3 linked regions of the Oreochromis niloticus genome follow. The protein of the gene in region 2 purifies or fractionates together with the protein of the main gene of each other region. This does not show direct contact. Links are inferred from orthologs where the notes say so. Each region holds a gene or a part of one and is shown on either strand. Other genes may lie near its edges.

What was found.
Region 1: the proteins of vps33a (region 2) and tgfbrap1 purify together in Homo sapiens (co-immunoprecipitation; 5 studies listed by BioGRID and IntAct, with this or other methods). This does not show direct contact. The link is inferred for Oreochromis niloticus from reciprocal best matches to the Homo sapiens genes VPS33A and TGFBRAP1.
Region 3: the proteins of vps33a (region 2) and vps41 purify together in Homo sapiens (affinity purification with mass spectrometry; 5 studies listed by BioGRID and IntAct, counting the BioPlex papers as one, with this or other methods). This does not show direct contact. The link is inferred for Oreochromis niloticus from reciprocal best matches to the Homo sapiens genes VPS33A and VPS41.

What each region holds. Positions count from the first base shown.
Region 1 is NC_031965.2:16,372,573-16,379,806, forward strand, and holds the start of tgfbrap1 (transforming growth factor-beta receptor-associated protein 1 homolog), read right to left. Parts: upstream 3,093-7,234; 5' UTR 3,021-3,092; coding exon 2,969-3,020; intron 2,821-2,968; coding exon of another isoform or gene 2,682-2,820; exon of another isoform or gene 2,146-2,681; intron 1,373-2,145; exon of another isoform or gene 1,136-1,372; intron 1-1,135. Other genes in the region: cul4a (cullin-4A), read left to right, coding at 2,682-2,820, 3,747-3,862, 4,301-4,404, 5,113-5,182, 5,274-5,347, 5,424-5,586, 5,667-5,756, 5,837-5,919 and 2 more. UniProt on the Homo sapiens protein: Plays a role in the TGF-beta/activin signaling pathway. It associates with inactive heteromeric TGF-beta and activin receptor complexes, mainly through the type II receptor, and is released upon activation of signaling.
Region 2 is NC_031977.2:12,418,243-12,425,939, reverse strand, and holds the start of vps33a (vacuolar protein sorting-associated protein 33A), read left to right. Parts: upstream 1-4,625; 5' UTR 4,626-4,689; coding exon 4,690-4,791; intron 4,792-4,868; exon of another isoform or gene 4,869-4,953; intron 4,954-5,079; coding exon 5,080-5,145; intron 5,146-6,409; coding exon 6,410-6,537; intron 6,538-6,654; coding exon 6,655-6,841; intron 6,842-6,936; coding exon 6,937-7,053; intron 7,054-7,162; coding exon 7,163-7,337; intron 7,338-7,697.
Region 3 is NC_031974.2:15,255,475-15,262,702, forward strand, and holds the start of vps41 (vacuolar protein sorting-associated protein 41 homolog), read left to right. Parts: upstream 1-4,172; 5' UTR 4,173-4,343; coding exon 4,344-4,364; intron 4,365-4,650; coding exon 4,651-4,689; intron 4,690-7,228. Other genes in the region: pou6f2 (POU domain, class 6, transcription factor 2), read right to left, coding at 2,144-2,241, 4,049-4,096. UniProt on the Homo sapiens protein: Plays a role in vesicle-mediated protein trafficking to lysosomal compartments including the endocytic membrane transport and autophagic pathways. Acts as a component of the HOPS endosomal tethering complex.

The sequences.
Region 1 (7,234 bases), on a different chromosome or scaffold from region 2:
GTGATTAAAAGAACGATATCGGATACAAGTGGTAGAAACAAGCTTCCTTTGATGGGTGGTTGGGCTTTCCCTTAGAGGGTGAGGAGCTTGGTCGTTTAGGAGGAACGCTGGAAGTAGAGCCACTCCTCCTTATAGAAAGAAGCCAGTTAAGGTGCTGGACATCTAATTAGGATGCCTCCTAAACATCTTCTTGATGAGGTTTTGCAGGCATGTCCTACCAGGAGGAGACCCCAGGGCAGACCCAGGATACACTGGAGGGTTTACATCTCAACACTTTGATGCCTCCCTGCCAGGTGAGCTGAAGGAGGTAAAGAAAAGGAAGGTTTGGGCTTCCCTACCTACCTGCTGTTCCTACAACCGAGAGCCTGATAAAGGGCAGAAGGTGGATGGAAGGAAGATACTGTTTAAGACGTTTTGTCTTTAAGATAAGGAGATTGACATTTCTTGAAAATCTCTCCTTGACAGTACAGCTGAGGATTGCTGGTGTTTACATTTAAAGGCATGAGACTTGGATCTTGGGTTGCCTGAAAGCTTATGTGCTCTGACACAAAAAGATTAACAAAGCAGATATACGTCTTTATATCAACAGCACAATTTTATTGAGTGTCCTGTTGCACTACTATAGTAACACTTTATCATAAAGTTTACCAATTTATATTTGACCTATTAGGGGATTGCTTTCCTCACACCCTCATGCTCAAACAGTAGGAGCTAATGATGTTAGCACTAGCTAGCTTCCCAAACCCAGAGGCAGCAGCGAAAAAAAATAAATAAATCACTGTTGACAGTGAGTGTCTGAAGGTGAGACATTCGTCATTAGGACATGAGTCATGTGAGGAAGTCGTGGCCAGTTTTTAATCGGATAGGTTGTTTCAGTACCACGTACCTGAGCTCTTTCGGCTAAAGTTAGCTTCTACACAGTGTTCTCTTGCTATGCTAACGCTAGCAAGCTAATTTAAAGCTAGGCTACATTTGCAGTGTGGTTAAAGCTCCAAGGCTACAACCCTCACGGAGTGTCCGCCCAAGGAAAATCAACCTGTTTTCCAGTCAATCTCCCCTTCACTGACATGATGCTCTGTGCGCCCACACCCTGCCCAGTTTCTCCCGGAGCAGCTGGCGTAGCCAGCAGACCTACCTATCAATGCAGGCGGCGCTCGGGACGGCAGGCCGGAGTCACTACACGCAGAAAAGCCTCAGTACTCCGAAAACCAGTACATGAACTCACACCTAAACGTCAACACTGCCATGCTGCTCGGGGTCTCTACCCCACCGACAGCCGGATAATACAAGCTGAATGGCAGCCAGCGAGTTCCTGCTTATCCAATATGAAACGCCGCCCATTTGCATTGCACCCCTGCTGGCTGCAGGTGATATAGTGGTGCGTTCACTGTTGTTACGAGTTTTTCAACAGTAGCCACTTCTAAGAAACCACCTGGAGCAATGTTATTGTGAGGCAGATGCATCACCGCTATTCATTGTTTACCTCTCCACATATAAAATATTTAAACTAGACAGTCTAAGGAGCTTGGAAAGAAAAACGTCTGGACTTCCAAGCTCCTTAGACTACGATGACCCGGATGACTGAGAACCTTCACAGACATTTAAACTAAACACAGATGTATCAATATATTTCAGTGATTAACAATTAATATCTCTGGTGATGCTCATAGCTGACAAGTGCGTTACAATGACAAGAGCCAAACAAATATCAGAGGTGATTAAGTGTCTCTAAACTGGTCCTAGCAGCATGTGTGCAAGAAAATGCATGCCATAACAGTAAACGTGTACTCAGTAGAATTAGTAAGGGCTGCTGTTGCATTTAAAGTCATCCAGACTCACTACCTCTGCTCCTCACTGTTACACCCATCTCCTTCTCATTCATTCTGTCATGCTTCCACTGACTTTCATTCCTCTTCTCTCCAGAGAACGCCTCAATTTTTCCTCCGTAGAGTTCTTATTATGACTAAAGCTTCTTAATTTAATGACTAATGCAAAAAAAAAGTTGCTGTCCTTTTGATGGCAAACTGATTTATTGTTACTGATATTTAAGTTAACTACACAGTATCTTAGAATATTTGACCAATTTGTTCTGACAGTAAAATGCACCATATGTCACTGAACGCAACCCGGCCGGTTTTCACCCAAGATGCACCTGTCCAACTGAACCGTCTGAGAAAAGCCATTTTGTTGTGCTAGCTAGCTTCATGGTAAAGAAAGCCAGCAGTAATTTGGGATTTTTATGTCAGCGCTAACGATGTCGCGTTTATGTGTTAGTGTACTGTCGCAAAATACAACAGTTAAACTCGTGGAGGCCTGTAAGTAGCCGATGGAGATATGAACTAGCTTATGAAGCTACGGCGCTGAGGAGAAGACGAAAAGTGTTTGCTAAAGTGTGCTGCAGGTTCAGATAACATACTGTTAGCTAGCAGTGTGTTTACTTAGGTAGGAGAGTGGCACATTTACCAGGTAGGAGGTAGTTATGTTTTCGGATTAGTTAACCTCGCGCTAAGTCATTTTTTCCCGTGAATGTGTTTTAAATAGGCTGCGAGTGCCTGTGCTGTCAACCAAAGACAAGTAGCTTAATATAGAGGCTGCCCCCCCTGACAGCGAGTAAACATCCCGGCAGTAAGTTAGCAAAACACTTGAACCATACAGCGATAAGCCAAAGCGCTAATCTGATAATGGCAGAGGACACCCGACAGGACAAGAGGGCCAGCTTCTCTATAACGGAGCACAGTGCTAACGGGATGGCCAGGACCTCCGCTGTGGCCTCAGGCAAAACCGGCACGTCAAAGAAACTAGTGATCAAAAATTTCAAAGGTACTGTCACTGAGCCTCTTCTAATGCGTTACCTAACAGCAGCAGTTACACAGAGATACCATAGCACGACATACGATGTTGCTTTCAGATAATGCCTGTAAAAAGATAAACAAACGAAAAAAAGTTAGTGCCCTGCTCAAGCACTCACATGTCACCTTTAACCAGGGCTTGCTCCTGATAAACTGATATGCATTTTCCATTATGCTGCATATCTGTTTGTGCCAAATCCACCAGCCATGGAGTTTTGGGCCACTCCTAAATCCCAGCACCTGTTGGATAAAGTAAAAGCGCGAGGTTTTATATCTGACATAACTAATCATTGAACGAATTGATCGTCTCAAAGATACTGCTGTTCTGTCAGTCCATTATTTCGCACCAAAAAGGGTGGGTGGGTGGGAAACTTAAATAAGAGGTTTACTTGTTTTAAGTCAAGGTTGATGTTAATATTGAGAAGTTACAGCACTTCACTTTACAATTAACCATTTACTTTGGACATTTTAGAAATGAAATTTTTTTTTGTGTGGAAAAAGATCGGCAAATAAATAAATGTTAATAAATGATTGAGTCAGAGAGACAAGTAAATTTGCTTTGTTCAATTTCCAGCAGGATAAATGTTTATTTGCCAACATAGCTGAGAGTCCAAAGTGTGTGGAGGTACTCCCTCTTTAGGTTATTGTCGGTCGTCCCAGTGTTGATGGCTTCATAAATACAGTAAAGCTATTGTGGAGTTGTATCAAAACTTCCTTTCCTTACCTTCAACATATGACAGAGAACTTTGAAAATGTCATTGAACATTTATCCATCAGGTTTTATCATTTCCACATTTAGAGCATTTGTAATAAACATGGTAATATATGATGTGCCCACATCCTAGTATGGTCATATTTTAGTCCTATAAGTGAGTCTTGTTGTATTTTTGTAAACAGATAGGCCAAAACTAGCAGAGAACTACACCGAGGACACGTGGCTGAAGCTGCGAGATGCGGTGGGTGCAATCCAGAACAGCACCTCCATCAAGTATAACCTGGAGGAGCTCTATCAGGTTTGCTGTTTGTCTTTTTAACTATCAAACTAGAATTAGACGTATTTTCTTCACACCCTGAGTAATGTGTTGCACTGCCGGGCCTTAAAAACATGTTGGTACAGAACAATTGAGCATGTCAAGCTCAAATGCTTTGCAGTCTCGACATTTTTTAACACCATAAAGCCACAGAATATTAAATGAGTCTGAAGTTGAAGAACAGCCGAGGATTAAAATAAACTTGTGAAGACTTGTCATTTGTTTTGTGCGTGTTGCATCACGTGCAGGACGTCTGCTGATGTGTTTGTTTGCTTTTAAACTGTTATGCATCTCAAAGGCTTTCACCACATTTTCACATAATTCTATGTTTGTGTTTCACTAATAGTGTTAAAGTCAATGTTATTATTCTCCAAATCACCTGTCTGTCCTGTGTTTTCTTTGTTTCTGCTGCACTTGAAGGCGGTGGAGAACCTGTGCTCGTATAAAGTCTCACCCACTCTGTACAAGCAGCTTCGGCAAGTCTGTGAAGATCACGTGCAGGCCCAGATCCACCAGTTTAGAGAATATCCTTTTTTATGTGCACAGGCATGTCAGGCAATCTATGTGCTAAACGTGCTGAAATATTGAAGCAGGTAGGATCTGTCTGATATCTTCTTTACTAAAAACCAAAATGATTCTCAGCTAACTGTGGAGTGAAATCCTGTCAGTATATGTTATATGCACTGACATGATAATAACAAGTTTCTCACTATAAGAGATAAACATCTAAATTAGTTCAGTTGGGTGAGGGTTAAAATCTGTAACCGGACACTAGTTTCCAGATGTTGTTCATCTGCGTGCAGACAAGAGTTGGGTATTGCTTATATAGTGAGTAGCAATTTGTTTGAGATCTGCTGCACACAGATAAGATAAAGCAGTGCTCCACTTTGTTTATAAATCTGCAGTTGGGACCTCAAGGTGGATTTTGCTTGGAATTTATTGGTAGCTTTACTCTTTCAATGATATCTGGGGTCTGCTGGCAGACGTCAAGCGATGCTCAATGTGTAGTTTGGCACCTACACTGTAGGTCTTTGCATGTATAGGTTTGATTGAATTTAATAATCGCATTTAATAACACTGGTTGGGCAGCTTTTTGAAGTTTGTTCTTTTAAGTATTAAGAGGAAGTTAGATAAACATGCTTTGTCACTATATCTCATTAGAGGTACTGTAATATTATTCAGAGCTGGGGTTTGATGCCTCAGTAAAAGATTTTCTTTAACTTGAACCTCACAGAGTCTTTGGACAACCTTTCCTTCCTGAAGCGAATGAATCGCTGCTGGCAGGACCACTGTAGGCAAACTGTGAGTGTGATGTTTGATAGATATGCATTTAAATATGCTCTGCTCAAACCTTAGTGGACTGTAGGAATGTTAATCTAATGATTCTCTGTAGATAATGATCCGGAGCATCTTTCTCTTCCTGGATCGTACCTATGTGCTGCAGAACTCTCTACTCCCTTCCATCTGGTAAAATTATAGTTAATTCAAGTCACTGTGTCTTTAAAGATGTTCCCAGAAAGCTGATGTTATGTATTCGCTGCAGGGACACCGGTTTGGAGCTGTTTCGCACCCACATTGTGAGCGACAGTGCTGTTCAAAAGCGAACAGTGGAAGGCATTTTGGAGCAGATTGAACTGGAGCGGAACGGAGAGACCGTGGACCGGAGTCTGCTTAGGAGTCTTCTTGGCATGCTGTCAGACCTGCAGGTACACAATCGCCTCTTCGTCACGTGCGCGCTTAGAGTGCATGCCAGTATTTCTCCATCATGACTCTCAACTCTTGTTAGGTTTACAAAGACTCCTTTGAGGAGAGATTTTTGACTGAGACCAATCGTCTGTATGCAGCAGAGGGACAGCGTCTGATGCAGGAGAGAGACGTGAGTGAGACCACCAGTGGGTGTGTGTGTCATGTGATTGTCATCAGCAGTACTGAGTGTGTGTGTTTGTGTGTGTTCAGGTACCCGAGTACCTGCACCACGTGGCTCGTCGGTTGGAGGAGGAAAATGATCGAATCGTGAGCTACCTCGATCAAAGCACTCAGTAATGTTTTTTATTTATTTACTTATTTATTTATTTGGATTTTTATTATATTATGGCATATTACTGAGACATCCAACATCAGCTATACCAGCTTATCCTTTTCAAGGGTTGCTGGAGCTTAAGGAAGGTAAAATTGCCTACTCACCATTTAAAACAGCTCTAAAGCAACATTCAGAAAGAACATTTAAAAACCATTCATTACCATATAGTGATATAGAAACTGCTAAATGGGGTTTAGTTTTGAGTCAGAAGACCAGTGGTGCCTTAAAGTGTCAACAAGCACTGTTATAGAAGATTGCAATCACAAACTTTGACACTACTACACTATTTTTTCTTCCACAACTACCCATGCAATCAGAAAGTTCTTCTTTTGATTCTATTTAAATAAAAAAAATCTACATGTTTTGGTTGGTTTACTCATTTATGATTGTCTCAGTCTCACCCTGGAAGTTCCCTTCTGACCACGTGCAGCTTTGCATCTGCATTTTAACTGTGCAGCTCTAACTTGCACAAAATGCAAATTGATGTGAGCGTTTATGTAAAGGATCATCACTGTGGATGAGAACTCTGACCACAACTCAGACATCAAACAGCATGTTTCAGTAAAACAGTCCACAGTCTGCAAGCCCGTATGAGGTGCTTGCTCCTTATTTTTCCATTGTCCACAGGGTTGTGCAGGACTTACTGATTATATTTGGTGCACATAACTTGAATTTTTTTAGCCCCACGAACACACCACTACTGAGCACCAGCTAAATTTGTTTCCTTCTGACTTCATCCTCCTCTTCAAATTGCAATTTAAGCTGAAGGATCTTTTGACGCTATGGGGGAGGGAATCCAGTGTGCATCACAAAAGTGCATCTGCATATGGAACAAACTGGATTCCCACAGAGCCATTTAAAAAAACAGCAGTCATGCTGGAAGTGGTGAATGAATTCGAAAGGAGACGATCCTGAAGGAATAATTGGCTAAATATTTATTATTTGTTTTTCTTATATTGTTTTCTTTGTTTCACAGGAAACCTCTCATTAGCTGTGTTGAGAAACAGCTGTTAGGAGAACATATGACTGCAATACTGCAAAAGGGTATGTCTGTGTGAAAGGTTTTGCAAACAACCACAAACAAACAGACGTGGTGCTGGGTTTCTGTTAAACTGGTACACATCAGTATTCTTTTCTTTTTTTTGTCCTTTAGCAACTTTTTTAGTGCTTTTTCTTTTTTAGTTGAGCTGTCCTGCCTGTAGAGCTGTACCCTGTTTTTATGCACACAATTAAACATTTTCAGTATGTAAAATGCACTCATGTTTGTGACAGGT
Region 2 (7,697 bases):
ATCCAGTCAACCTAAATCTGGCTGGTGAGGATTTTTTTTTTTTTAATTCAGAAATCACAACAAGGCGTACTGAATTTGCAGTCGACATCCGACAGATCCCAGCAATCCTGAGATTTAGCTGAAAACGCCATCTGACCAGCACATTGATGTACATATAATTCAGATTCAACTTTTAGACTCAAAGGGAGCTGAAGAGAAAGTCTGAAACCTTAACCATAAGAAAACAGAGAAAAAGAACAGTTGCTTAATCAACAACAAAACTCCACATGGCATAACATCTGCCATCAGTTAAAGTGCAATACTGCCACCCACTATGTTTAAGTGTCAACCTGATAGTTACTGGTGCTGCACTACTTTTTTGTGTGCATTATTAATATTCTTTAAATATTTCATATTTTAAATATCACAGTTATCACCAACTCTGTTACATCACAAGTCTCCTAATATAGCAGAGAATGCTATTATCCGAGCCTCCTTTTAAAGCTAAGTCAGTAAACAGCTACAGGACGAGGGAACACTCGATTACCGGCACTCTAGCAAGAGCCTGCAGTGAGTTTCGGATTTGCTTGGGTGATGGTGATTCATCCTTGTATGCCCCAGAAGCAAGAGGTGGGACTGGCTGCTGATGCACCGGCCGGTTATGTTCCCTCGGTTTCTTCAAATCTTATGTCAGAGGTAACAGATAGGCGTATTAAATGTCTGTTTGTAGTCTTATGAGACAAAACTACATGGTTGATAAGATGAAAGAAAACACGTCAGGTCTCTTAGTCTTACTGCTGTTACTCTCTCCCCTGTGAAGATCTGGTTCAGCTGTGGGATATCTGACTCTCCCTCTTGTCCCACTAGCAAACTAGCAGGTACAATGCCCCTGGGTGTTTTTAACAAATCTGTGTTGGCAAACTGTTCTGGCCTGGAAGCTGCAACACTAACAGGAAGCTTCTGCGCAACTTTTGACAGAAAAACCTCTGTCGGGAGTCTTTTCTGTAGGCGTCACTCTGAAGACCATCACTGAAGCTGCAACATATGCAAAGCAGGGATTAGAATGAGTGCAATATAAGGGTCAGGGATTGGGAAGGGTAGTGGAAAGGTGGAAAAGGGGTTTCGAGATAAGCTAGTGTTAATTCTATTTTGGATGTTTAACTCCTCACTCTGCTGGGGGAACTTTGTTAAAAGGCCACATTCATTACTTCTGCTTTCTCCAATATGCCACACCATTTAGGCAGCTCGAATCACCACATTTGGATAAGTAAGTGAATCAATGCTTATCCACCGCTGATGAGAATAAGAAGATGAAGCCACTCCCCTCTGGAACTCGGCCGCAAATGGCAGAATAAAGTACCTCCTCTAACAGAATTTAAACACAGAACACAAAATCTGCTGAGATTTACAGTAAAAACTGTGTGATTTAGGCCCGAAGCTGCATGCATAGATGGTGACGAGCACAGAAAACATGGAGTCATGCACCTTTACCAACTGTGGCCATGGTAACAGCAAGATCAGAAGATGAGAATGAGAGTGATTAAACTCCGTGTGTGTGTGTGTGTGTGTGTGTGTGTGTGTGTGTGTGTGTGTGTGTGTGTGTGCGTGTGTGTGTGTGTGTGGAGTGTGTCTGCATAGTAGACCACACCTGTGCCAAATTTTCAGACCCATGCAGACCAGGTCATTGTTACAAATGTTGTAAAGAAACGTGGTTAAAGAAGAAGGGTATGGCTGCCTTGTATGCTTGTGTGTTAAATAATGCATACAGCATGCAAAGCACTTCGTTCCTCCATCTTTCCCCCCCACCTTTTCTCTAACTACCCATCATTCTTGCTCTTTTACTCTTGTTTTATGTGACCAGATGTGAAAACAACTGATCTCCTCCTATATTTTTTCTTAATTTCATTCCTTCTCTAGAAAACAACAATAGGCGAGCAGGCAGGGAGAAAAATACAAAGACAAGGGACATCAGGATAAAGGTGTCATCCAGTCACTACTGGGGCTGCTTATGTGCAAGGATGCAACTGCAGATATCGCTCAGACCATTCATTCAGTCTTTTCTCCCCTCCCCCATTTAATCCACATGCTTCAGGTCTGTAGGAGGAGTTGGGAGATGGTGGAACTGGAAGGCAGAGCCCAGCTTCCTTTCTCTGTCCTCTTTCCATATTAATGTCAGAATAAGAATGAACTAGTCCAACCCATTACAGCACACGCACACACACACACACACACACACACACACACACACACACACACACACACACACACACACACACACACACACACACACACAGATACACACTGCTTTGACATTCCAGGTTTAATAATAATAGCCCCAGGGTGCAGTATAAGATAGCATCACAACAAGTAGTCAACTGAATCACCTGCTCTGTGGCACAGCTGGAGTTGAGAAGCAGCCCTCCCCACATCAGTGATCAGCTTGACGTTTTTCCTCCATAGTCTGCAAGCCTCCAGCGTGCGCTCCTAAAAAATCCTGCAGCAACGCCCAGGGACTGCAACCACACAGTCTCCCACATGACTTACCAGGTCTGTTCTCTTACATCAGATCTACAACAACAAAGCACTTCATTTGCAGGAGGAGCCGGCCTCTAGTCTTGTTTTATTAAATCTTTTTTATAAAGGGAGATGGGGGCTGAACCTACTGAGGTACACCCAGAGTGTAGCCATTCATGAATAAACTTAGTCCATAATCATAACACCAAAGTAGGCAGTAGTAAATCAGTGCAACACCAGCTCTGCATGAATGACAGCAAAAAATAAAATAAATAAATAAAATTCTGCAGCAGGATCACGTCTTCGGAATGATGTCCCCCCCCAAAACCCCCCCACAAAGGATTCACTGAAATGTTCATTGTTATAATTGTAAGCTATAGGTTAATTAACAGCATGCATACTGAGTGCACTGCACACTCCCTCACAATCTTCCCCTTCATTCAAACGACTCAGTAAATAACAGGCTAATAAAAACCCATGATATGTGTTCCAGCAAATTAATAAAAACAGGCAATAAAACGAGCTCCCTAGTAAGCGATTTCTATTCCCCGTGTCTTCTGAATGAAATGCTGCATCCATTCAACTTGCACAGGCTAAAGAGAAATTACAATGGGCTGTCCAAACGCAATAATCTCACAGAAATGTTTCGGGTGAGGATGTAATGTTTGAAAATCCTTCGAAGGAGATCGCACAGCCTACCTGTGAATCCAGCCCTGCCTCTCTCGCCTCTCCTTCTCTCTCAGGGAGCTGTCAGGGAATGATGCGGACTAAATTTCTGTGCAGCGCTCGGATCCGACCACGGAGTTAGTCATTGCGCATGGTGCCCGTCACAAAAGCCTGTGGCTTTATTTATTTATTTTTCCTGGAAGAGTAGTCTGTTGCTGAAATGCACAGTGGATCACCCCAGTGCGTGGGAACTGGTCTTCTATCCTGCGCGGAGGATGGAAAGCCCTTGGTACCCTGGGCAGGAAACCCCTGGATGTGAAGTGATAACACTGATGCTCAAGTAGGCAGTCATCACCTGATCCAATTGTCTCCATAACACAGTGTCTAAATTTGTCTCATCATTCAGCAGTCTGTCTTTATGGCGCGTAAACATGGATTATAGCTTTAAAGTTTGATTTTTAAGCCGTTTTTTATTTGAGTCACTTTTTTTTTTGATTGTATTAAACAACCATTCTTCATATGTATGTGCCAACAAGAATCTTTATGTTTTCTGTATGATAACATTAGCAGAAACTTTTATTTCCCCTGTCACATCTTCTTCTTTTTCTCCTTCTTCTTGTCTTTTTTAAAAGATAGTTTTAACTATGTAATTTTCAAGAAAAAAAAAAGCCAAATTCCAACATCAGTGACTCAATTACAGGAGCTTGCCGGCGATTGAATCCTACTGTGAGGACACTGCGCCATCTAATGGATCCAATAATAATTGCGGAAAAGGATGAATGCATTTCTTTAGCTGAAGGTTTTGAATTATTCTAAAAGGATTCATTATTTTTTTATTATTCTAATAAGTTATTTGTTTGTAACGTGAATGAAATGAACAATCGTCACGGTCATAAATAACCGTAGTCACAGTGGTTATGGCCTGCACTTTGTGGTAGTTACAGTGTAGAGTTGCCACCAATGACTGTAGAAAGCACCTCCTCCCATTGTGCAAAAATGAAGCCAAATCCCGCTTGTGAATTTGGACACAGCTTCCACACCTACTCGCAAAAAGAAGAGTACAGGAGGATTGAAACAGTACCTCCTCTGCGCTTCCTTCATCGTATTTAAAAGCATACTTGAACAGGAAACATTTCTGATGTTATTCTGTCGATGTCTACGCTTAAAAAGTATAATTTAAACAATGCTGAGACTCGGTATGAGACATGAGTATTTCTCTTAGCTGTTTAAGTAATTTTTCTTACCGAGCAACATCTACGCATGCGTGAAACCCGTATTTCCCGTTATGCTATTTTAGTTTTTGCATTTAACTTTTATTTATTATTACCGTAGACTGCAAACAGATAGTGCCGACATGAATTTGTCGGTGCATTAGTGAAGTGGAAGTGTTTGAGTGCACATTTTCACAGTGTTTAGGCTCAATTGTGGCGTTTTCTACAATCACTGGTGTGAACTAGCTTGACTTTCTTTGGTCACATGATGCGACTACGCTGAAGTCACCTGATTTGTTGTGCTGCTAGTAAGGAAAAAATGGCTGCTCACTTGTCGTACGGTAGAGTGAATTTAAACATATTGAGAGAAGCAGCACGAAAAGAGCTTCGAGAGTTTTTGGACAAATGCGCAGGAAGCAAGGTGACAAACCCGCATACGCCTGTGAAATGTAGTCCAAACACTGGTAGTTAATGTGGTCTCTGAGGCTCAGCGTTACCATGCGACTGTCAGTTAACATTATAGTCATAGTTTTATTTTGAATGTGTAAAACAATACAGATAACGCAGACATATTTCTGTGTAGGTGCGTCGTATTATAAAATATTCGAGCTACTAGCTAAGTAACAGTTAGCAAGTATCGCCTGACAGAACATCTTCAGTTCTGCTTACTCACGATTCAAAGCTTTGTGTGCTCTTACTCTTTCTTTAGGCCATAGTTTGGGACGAATATCTGACGGGACCGTTTGGACTAATAGCTCAGTACTCTCTGTTGAAGGTAAGTGCTTTCTGTTTACAAACCCATTTCTAAAAATGTTAGGAAGCCGTGCTTTGTGGGAATGCAATGATTTGCAAATCTCCTAAACCAATATATTATTTACATTAAAAAAATAGAAAACGTCAGAGCTTTCTACTGTTTAATGAAAAAATATTAGGCCATTTTGAGTGTGATGGCAACAAGACAACTGAACGTTGGTACAAGAAGAACAGTCTGGAAAAGTAATTGGTACTAAAATGAAATAGCTGGAGGAACATTTGGCAACAGGTCAGTAACATGATTGGTACATATCAGCCAGAGATTCAGAGAATCTGAAGGAATCTCTGTGGACAAGGGACGAAAAACACTCAGGTGCCGCTGCATTAAAAACACACATGGTTCTGTCATGAAAACCGCTGCATAGGTTCATGAACACTTCCAGAAATAATTGTCTGTGAACACAGATCACCATGCTATCCAAAACTAGAGGTTAAAGGTCTGTCACGCAAAGAAGAAGCCATGGTTGAACATGAAATGCTACTGTCTGCTAATTGTGGAAAACTATTCTGTGGTCAGATGAATTAAGACTTTAAATTATTTTTGCAAAACATGTATGTTGTGTCCTCAGGACTAAACAGAAAAGGCAGCATCTGACTTATTATCAGCACTGAGTTCAAAAACCTGCACCTGTGATGGAGCTGCATTCATGCCTGTGGAATTGGTAGTCTACATATCTAGCAATGCTGAAAACAGGTTTTACATATGCTCCTATCCAGACTGGATAGGACAGCAGTCTTTTTGCACATTTCATCAAAAGACTCCTAAACCGCATTAAGCATCTATTACAACAGCATGCATTCATAGTTGAAGAGTCTACTGAACTGTCCTGCCTACATTCTAGACTTTTCAACAGCTGAAAGCATTTGGCACATCGTGAAATCAAAAATGCAACAAATTAGACTCAGAAGTGTTGACGTATTGGTGTCGCCAAATTAAAAATCATCAAATATTTTTCTTGGTCCATTTTCTTATTTTAAATCTTTTATGTTTTATGTTATTTTCTAGTGTAAAAGAAATATGTGTTCATGAGATTTTCAAATCTTGGAATTCTGTATTTATTTGCACATTATTTTTTGGAAGTGGGTGCACAATTTATGTCTCAATTAACTCAGACAACAGACAAGGCCCACATGTCTTATTATCTAGTTTCTTTTAACACTAATGTCATGTGTCTAATGTTGCTGAGGGTGTTGTTTTAACTTGTCGTTTATTATGGTGTGTTCAGGAACATGAAGTGGAAAAGATGTTCACCCTCAAGCATGGGAGGCTTCCCCCTGCTGATGTCAAAAATATCATCTTTTTTGTCCGGCCCAGACTGGAACTTATGGACATCATTGCAGACAATATAACTAGGTGAGTGTATGTGTCTCATCCTCAATCTGTGATAAAGACAAGGTTTTGTTTTCTTGTCCTTTCTCTCACTTTGCATAGCTATCCACACTTTGCAACATGAATTGTGCTACTCTTTAGTGAGGATAGACACCATTCATCCCGAGACTTTCATATTTTGTTCGTGCCTCGGCGGAGCATGCTGTGCGAACAGCGGCTAAAGGAGCAGGGCGTGCTGGGCTCTTTCATCAACATCGATGAGTATATCCTGGACCTGATTCCCTACGATGGGGACCTGCTGTCCATGGAGTATGAAAGTGCTTTCAGGGTGTGTTCAGGTTGCACAGTACAAATATGTATCATCCACTTGCTTTGGTGGAATCTCTCATATACACATAAATTACTCCCCTTTGTCGCACTCAGGAGTGCTACCTGGAAAATGACCAAACAAGCCTGTACCACACAGCCAAAGGCCTCATGACCTTGCAGGCTCTGTATGGCACCATTCCACAGATATATGGGAAAGGAGAATGTGCACGGGTGAGCATGGTGTAACCTTCAATAATTTCTGTTTTATATGAAAGCAGAGGCTCTGCAGGAGCGAGGTAAATACATTTTTCTGATAAACAAATCCTCTGCTTGTTATCAGCTCGTTGCCAACATGATGTTGAGGATGAAGAGGGAGTTTGCTGGCAGTCAGAATCAGATTCTGCCCGTGTTCGATACCCTACTTCTCCTTGATCGTAACGTTGACCTGCTCACCCCTCTGGCCACACAGCTCACCTATGAGGGTCTCATTGACGAGATTTACGGAATCAATAATGGTATGAATAAATCATTTAGAGTTCTTACTCTTATGTTTGCATGTTGAGCCTCAGTAATATTTATTGTTTCTGACATCTGCATATCCCGCTGTTTCTTTCGGAACTTTATTTTTAATGAAAAGCAGAGCAGGATTACACTTGAACATTAAAATTAATCTTCTTTTTTTCTCCAATATTTGACATATTGCTCATATTGTAGTGTTGAGGTGGAGGTTAGTTTCTCCAGCAGTTTGATGATGTCTGCAGTCTAGTGATCCTTGTTTGGATGCTTGCCTGCAGACATTTCTGTGTGGTAGCTTTTCATGCTAGTACTGTCACTATCCTGAGCCAAAAGTTTTTCAGAGATTTTTCACTATTTTA
Region 3 (7,228 bases), on a different chromosome or scaffold from region 2:
ATAATTTAGAGATATTAGAGATAAACTGATAATGAAAATGATCATTAGTGGCAGCCATATGTCCCAAAACAAACTTTTCTCTCACAAAACCAGCCTTATGAAGTGAGACTGAAATTAAATAATGAAATATTCTGTAATCTTCTGAAGCTCCTTTGTTTTTTTTAAAGTTGCATTGTGGAAGAAAAGTGCAAAAGAACCACACAGTCTGCTGAATCTTTAACAACTATGGTTAATTTTGTACATATATAAATATTTAACCTCCTGAGACCCAAGCTCTTGTTTGGGATGCATTTTTAATTTCTCCTAGTTATTTGGGATTAGTCGAACCAGAAAAGTATAAAATCTAAATATTATGTTTGAACAATGGGCACACACTACTTAACAAATTATAAAACAGTTTATTGAGCAGCATTACGAAGAATATTCAAGAGGTTAAAACATGTTTAGAGTAAGTATTAGGTGTGGAATTAAAGCACAGTTCAATAGCTTCAAATGATCTCCAACATACTGGAGACATATGTAGGGTGATTTCAACCTGGGACAGGCTGCAGCACACCAGCCTGCTCTGAAAAACGCACGACAGAATGAGGTTTATAATCTACCCGAAAGACAAAATTCTCTTTCATGCTTTCTTTGTCCTTAAACATTAATGTAACGTCAAACCATCAGCTCGCTCTGTCAGTTAACATGACTTTCCGAGGTGACAAATGTTCTCCGTTCTCTGAGAAATCACACACAACAGCTTCATTTGCTGCTATGACTGACCTAAAAGGCACGTAAATACTTTAATTATCTGATTTTTTTGGGACCTGAAATGACCTGTGTAATGCAAACAGACACATACGCTGAGATTAATAACACCTGATATCAGCAATTATTCATTTGCTTTAAGATTAAAATAAGGTTTCTTTAACATTTTGTAAATCATTTTATTTTCCACCTTAAATGAAACATATGTCTACATAGAAATAATGTATCAACACTTTTTGAAGCAATCATTATATATTTTATGAATATGTGGATGCGCTGTGATGACCGAGCATACGGAGATGTGTAATGTGGTTTGTTAGGTGATGATTTGTCTCCCCCTTAGGGTTATTAACCAAACTGTTCTTCTGTCTATGCTTCCACTTCATGCCTTTGTGCATCTAAATCTCAACAAGTGCTGTTAATAGTGTTAAATTACTCTTGGAAAAATGCAGCCAATTTGTATTATTTTATCTGCAGCTGATCTAACAGACTGTTATTGGGACTCGTGGGGTCAGGGGTGTAAATATCCGAGACTTGAGATGATTTTTCTTTTCACGCTCGTTAATATGATCAACAGTTATCCCTCTCTCCTCCACTAAAGCTAAAACGCTCCCCAGCGGACGGTCGGCGGGTCAGTGAAGGCTGAGGGCTATCAAAGCAGTGTATTAAAAGGAGCTCTTTGAAGCTTGTAAACCACGGTGCCCAGCAGGTCCACAACAGATAGACGCCTCTGATTGGTCAGGTGTGTGTGTGTGTGTGTGTGTTTTCTGCTGGATCGATCCACCGAGCTGACATTCTGGAGCATCAAAGCTTTCGGTGCACTAATCTGACTCCTCCTATGAGGGCGAGGGTTGTTTTTATTATTTTCCTTTTTTGTCCATGAGGTGCTTAAACTTTAGACGGGGCTCTTGCATGTTTATGATGGGAGAGCGGGCAAAGCATATGTTTTGGAGGTTTGAAAGGGAATGAAAACAAATCAAGCTTGGATACTGTATTTATCGAGCGATAAATAATGCAAAACTATAGAGAGAGAGATGGAGAGAGAAGCAGAGAATCACAGGGCCATCCGTTGGGCGTACCACTGGCAGCAGCAGAGGAGCGACACCGCAGAGATTCACACACTGCTGCTCCTCAAAGTCAGTTTCCCCTCACACTGTCTCTGGAGACCTGCGCCACATACACACTCATGAAAGGTGTGAAAATCTGATTTCCCAAAAAGGATCGGTAATTCTCTGTGAGGGTGGAAGCCGCAATCAATAAATCATTGCTAAGCAGATTGTAAAGAAAAAAAAAATTATTCCCCCTTGGTATCAGTGCATTAGGATTCTCCTGAGGATGGATGAGGCAAGACAGGGGTGTGAGACAATCTCAATAAAGAAGAGGCAAATCATACCTTTGGCATTCATCTGGACTCAGGCAAGCAGCTGTCAGCAGAGTGACGGAGGACCAGGCGAGTCGACCAATATCCGAAGCCACCATGTTCAGAGAAGTCTGCAAATATATAAAACAAATAGCCTAATTATTACTGGAAGTCTTGCTGACTGTGTTTGCTTTATTAGTGAATGCACAGGGATTTCCTTTATTAAGGCAGGCATAGGAGACAACCTCAGAAAAGTACTGTACTTTTAATTTTATATTAATCTACCACAGATTTTACCTCAAAAAGGGGCACAATAAATACTTTTAGCTGCTATTTCTCATCATAATAATGCACAATCTGGATGCCATTACTGCTTATTACCAAGTGGACAAAGTATTCATATTCTTTACCATCAAGAGTAAAGATGCATCCAAATACATATTTAGCTTCTTTCCTACAGCTGTAACACTGCTAAACACCATGTGACAGTAATTATGTACAACCCTCATGTGCAATATTCCACTACCCAATTCCACATCCCATAACTCGGGACATACCTCACTGTGTACATTTTATAATATGTAAAATAACTCATGTAAAGTGCACTTTTTTTTACTGCTCAGCTTCACACAATTACAACCCTCAGGCATATACATTACACAGACAGATGCACAGCCTGTAAATAAATAACTCATGTTCAGTCCAACCGTGCAATATTAAGTCCCAATACTTTTTACTCTTTAATGCTTGTCAGTAAATATTGTATTTTATATTTATATTATGTCAGTACATTTATTTTATCTAAGGTTTTTTCACCATCTGAGCAAGTATTACCTGATTTCATTATGTTTGCTTAATGATAATAAAGTGTCTTGAATCTTCAATACAGTCTTGGCAGTAAAATTTAAAGTATCAAAAATATAATTTAATATTCTTCTGAAACCAGGGGACTCAAACAATAGCTGAAGGGTTAATTTAGCCACCACGTTCAGAAAAATCTGCACATATTTAAATCGAATAGTCTTAATCATTTCAGTTAGTGATAGCTCCAAATGTACTGGAAAGAGGATTGTCTGTCCCGTTTTATTCAAATTGTCTCAATTAAGACAAAGAGAGATTGTGAATGAATTTAAAGTCCTGTAAGTTATCATTTTGAGATTATAGATTCAATTAGTGCTCAATTATTTGAAGAAAATTTTGTGTATTTTACCTCACATTCTACTGTATATCTGGCTAGTGGCAGTAAATAATCAATATAAAAGGGGACAATGTGTACAGTAAATACTGTTGCCTAATAATTCTTGTAATAATACTCATGATTACTTCAGAGCCATTACTTTTGTAAAAACTACTTAATTATAAGTAATAGTATTGATGGACTTTAAGCAAAAGTAGCATGTTTATGCTGTTTGGAACCGTTTTGAACTATTTTTAATATTTACTATAAATGATATAAATTTCTCCTCTAGGGAAAAACTACAGTATTTGCCACTGATATGTTACAGACAATTAATATAAAATACAACAAATTAAAATACTCAGCTGTATACAAGGGGGTGGATTTAGTTGGCTCCTTTTAGCCACTTATTTGAATACCTTTTAATGACAGCAGAAATCAGCCTTTTTATCATCCCCTTGGGGACAGTTTGGAGGACTTTTAGTCCAGGTTAATTTATTGTATCTGGCGACCGTTCAAATTTTTAAGGTTGGTCTATTAATGTTGTCAGTGAAGATGTGCTTTATGGTTATACCTAGCTTTACTGCGGGTTATTTGGCTGCAGTTTCAAGACTGTTAGCTTCAACTGAAAAAAAGACATTTTCTTCACAAGTTTTCCGTCTGACACTTAAGAAAAGAGACACTTGGATTGTTAAAACCGAGTAAAACTTGCTACAAGTATTTGCCACGAAAACCACGAAAAACACATTATAAACTGTCACCTGGCATCGTTTTTCAAGTAATCGTCTCCTTTTATTCTGTCTGAGCATCCGCGTTGTCGTTTCTCTATCTGAATGACTTCATTACCCATAACGCCTTGATACTCGAATTGAAGTCATGTGATTTAGCTCATGACTGGAAGCAGGTTTCGACAACAAATATCACTTTGCTGTCACGCAAAATCGGGTGTTTCTGAGATGAAACAAACCTTTATCGGAGATTTAACGGATATTTTTTAAAATATTTGTTAAAGTATTATAGCTGTTACCTTTGGATATATCGCTAAATAATATCACAATGGCGGAAGTGGAGGAGCAGGTAAGCTCAAATGCTAACGCTAGCTAGCTAAATGTTTCTGTTTTAAACGCACTTGCATCAAAAATGCATTCAAAGTGTGGCTGTGAGAGCTGTCAGCTGTGGTTTCATTTGATTTAGCTTCTCATCAAGCCATTCTCTAGCTTGGAAAGCTAACATTTTAGGTGCTAATTTAGCTTTGCAGTTGTTTGGTATGTATTTAATGTCTAAATAAATAGCCATGGCCTTTGAAACCATGCTTTAACATTAATATATTTTTAAAAGCAACCCAACATTTTTCTGCTTTTAGGTCAGTCATCCAAGTGAGGAAACCACAGATGAGTCTGAGGTAAGAATCAAAAATACCTCATCATTTTAGATCATCTAAGATGAATTTATATTAAGAAATTTTGATATATATTTAGAAAATAATAACAGGAAAAAATGGACTTGAATGTGTCATGCAGTTGCACCAGTATGTCAGTGTAGACATGCATCACCAATAATATACTGTCAGTGACAGAAGTGTTCATATTTCCGTCAGGTTTGGATGCTTTTTGAAATCTCTGCCTACTGAAGGGGCTGTAATACATAACATAGCCTTTATCAGCACAGCTTGATCCCTAAAGGATCTTTGTCAGGTTCTGAGAGGTGTCAAACACTCATGAATTACATATAGCTTTCCAGATCCATCAATATTATGACTGAACTCTGGCATGTTACAGTACACCTGTGCTTCGGAGGATCTCACATGGGCTGAATAAAATATAACATTACACATCACGCTGACAGGAAGGAGAATTTTTCTTCATAGGTAGCAGAGGATGGAATCATATATAAGATATATGCTGCATTTTGGACACCTGCACCTTTCTCAAGCTACTTTTTTTTTTCTCAAGAAAATAAACCAGACTTGTAAATAGTGGTCTGTCTGTGCACCATGTGTTCAGTAGTCATGGACAAACACTCACTGGACTGTGGGATTGCAAGTCTCCTCTGAGTGGCTGCTGCAAACAGGTGATTATTTGCTTACAATATTGCAATATACTGTAGCTGGCTGCTGTTGTTACCAGCTTGACAGCAGCCTCGCTAGATGAAGGCAGCGAGGGGCTGTTTGCTCTACACTCTACTAACAGAAGAGATGAGCAGGGTAACAATTTGTCTGAGCAGTGGCTCTGGAAAGTCACAGGCATTCTCTTCATCAACGTCATGATTTGGTTAGATTAGTCTGATTTGTAATAACATAATACAATAATAAGCCTGATTTGTAAGTGCTTTTTAGTATGCTCAGCGGATCAAACCCTTAAAACGATAGATTTAAGCGACATATTAGTCGACTGATTGCACCAATTTCCCCCTCTTTCTGCCTCAAACAAACTAACATGGTTAGATTTAACAGCTACAGCGTTCCCCTTAAAAGCAGACAAATGGGCGAGTCTTGCTTGAACCTTGAACATTAAGCTAGATGATGACACGAGGAGTCTCATTTAGCTCAGCTGTCAGTAGATGGAGAATATGGCAAAAATGGTTACAAATCAAAAGAAACCCCAGCAGCTGACAAACGAAAGGGTGAGTTCCATAAAAGCCTGTCAAAAAATGTACTTTTGTGGTCCCGAAAAGCACATAAAAGGTAGAGAATGAAGGGTAATAAATGGAAGAAAAGACATCATGCATTGTATTTTTAGCAACTTGCTGGACCACTATAAGGCTCTAAGTGCTCTACATGATTCTGCCACTCCTTTAGAAGCAAATGAAATGGTTTAATGCATATTTTAGCTTAGCTTAGTTTAGTTTTATTCAGTCATCACATATTGCACAGACAGTGTAAACAGCACACAATAAATCAGGATCTCTGCACCATGTAGTGACTGAACAGAATCAGGCAGAAGCAACGCATCTGTAAGCCTAGACTGCGGTCTTTTAATTCCAGAATTAATGGGAACAACATAATCGTTCACACTCTCAAGTGTCAATAATTTATGATGTCTTTGTGCTACTGTTTGGAAAAGAAAAAGCAAATTAATTAAATTCATTTTAGCAATTTTCTATAATTTAACCTCAACACTAGAAGTTCACTTTGAGTACCAAAATCTAAAAGCTAATTTGTTAAACAGCATTATGGACACACTTTAATTTTATGGACTAAGGACCAAGCTGATGTCAGCTGGGAAAACAGTTTAAGCAAAGTTTTTATAGCATGTTATATGCTGGTTTCATAAACGTAGGTCTTTGAACATGACCCATGCAAATCAGGAGTTTGGTGTGAGTGCCACCACCATGCGTGCTAGGATTGAAATTCATAAATGCAATTAAGTTAAATATAGCTGTTGATAACAGCATCAAGACAGCCACTGTTAATATACTGCAGGTTGCAAGACCGACAGGAAATGATGGTGTATGAATTTGACAAGTCTATTACTGAATTTGGGATCCTGGGAAGTATAAAGCTGCCACTAATGCTATGATCAGGATAAAGGTATGATCTCCAGTTATTTGAAAACAAGAACAGTCCTGCAAAAAAATGGACAAAGCAAAGTTAGAAAACATTGGTTTCAGAGCTGTAAAGAAATGGCTTTAATTCAAACCAAGTGGACTGAAACAAGCAAATATAATGATGGGAAAAAAAATGATTACCAGACTCCTGATTTTGTTGCAAGCACTGAAACATACAAGGTTTCCTTAACTAGGGTATATGATAATGTTAACTTTGTGTATTTTATCCTGTACATGCCCAGGTGTGACATGTATAGCTCAGTAGTTTGTGTCTAAATGCTACGTTTCTGAATGCCATAATCCATCAGAGATCATATTTTTAATTGTAAATTGATAGTTGATATATGGCAGTTGTAAAACTGTTATTACTGTGTAACAGTGTGTCATAAGCACCT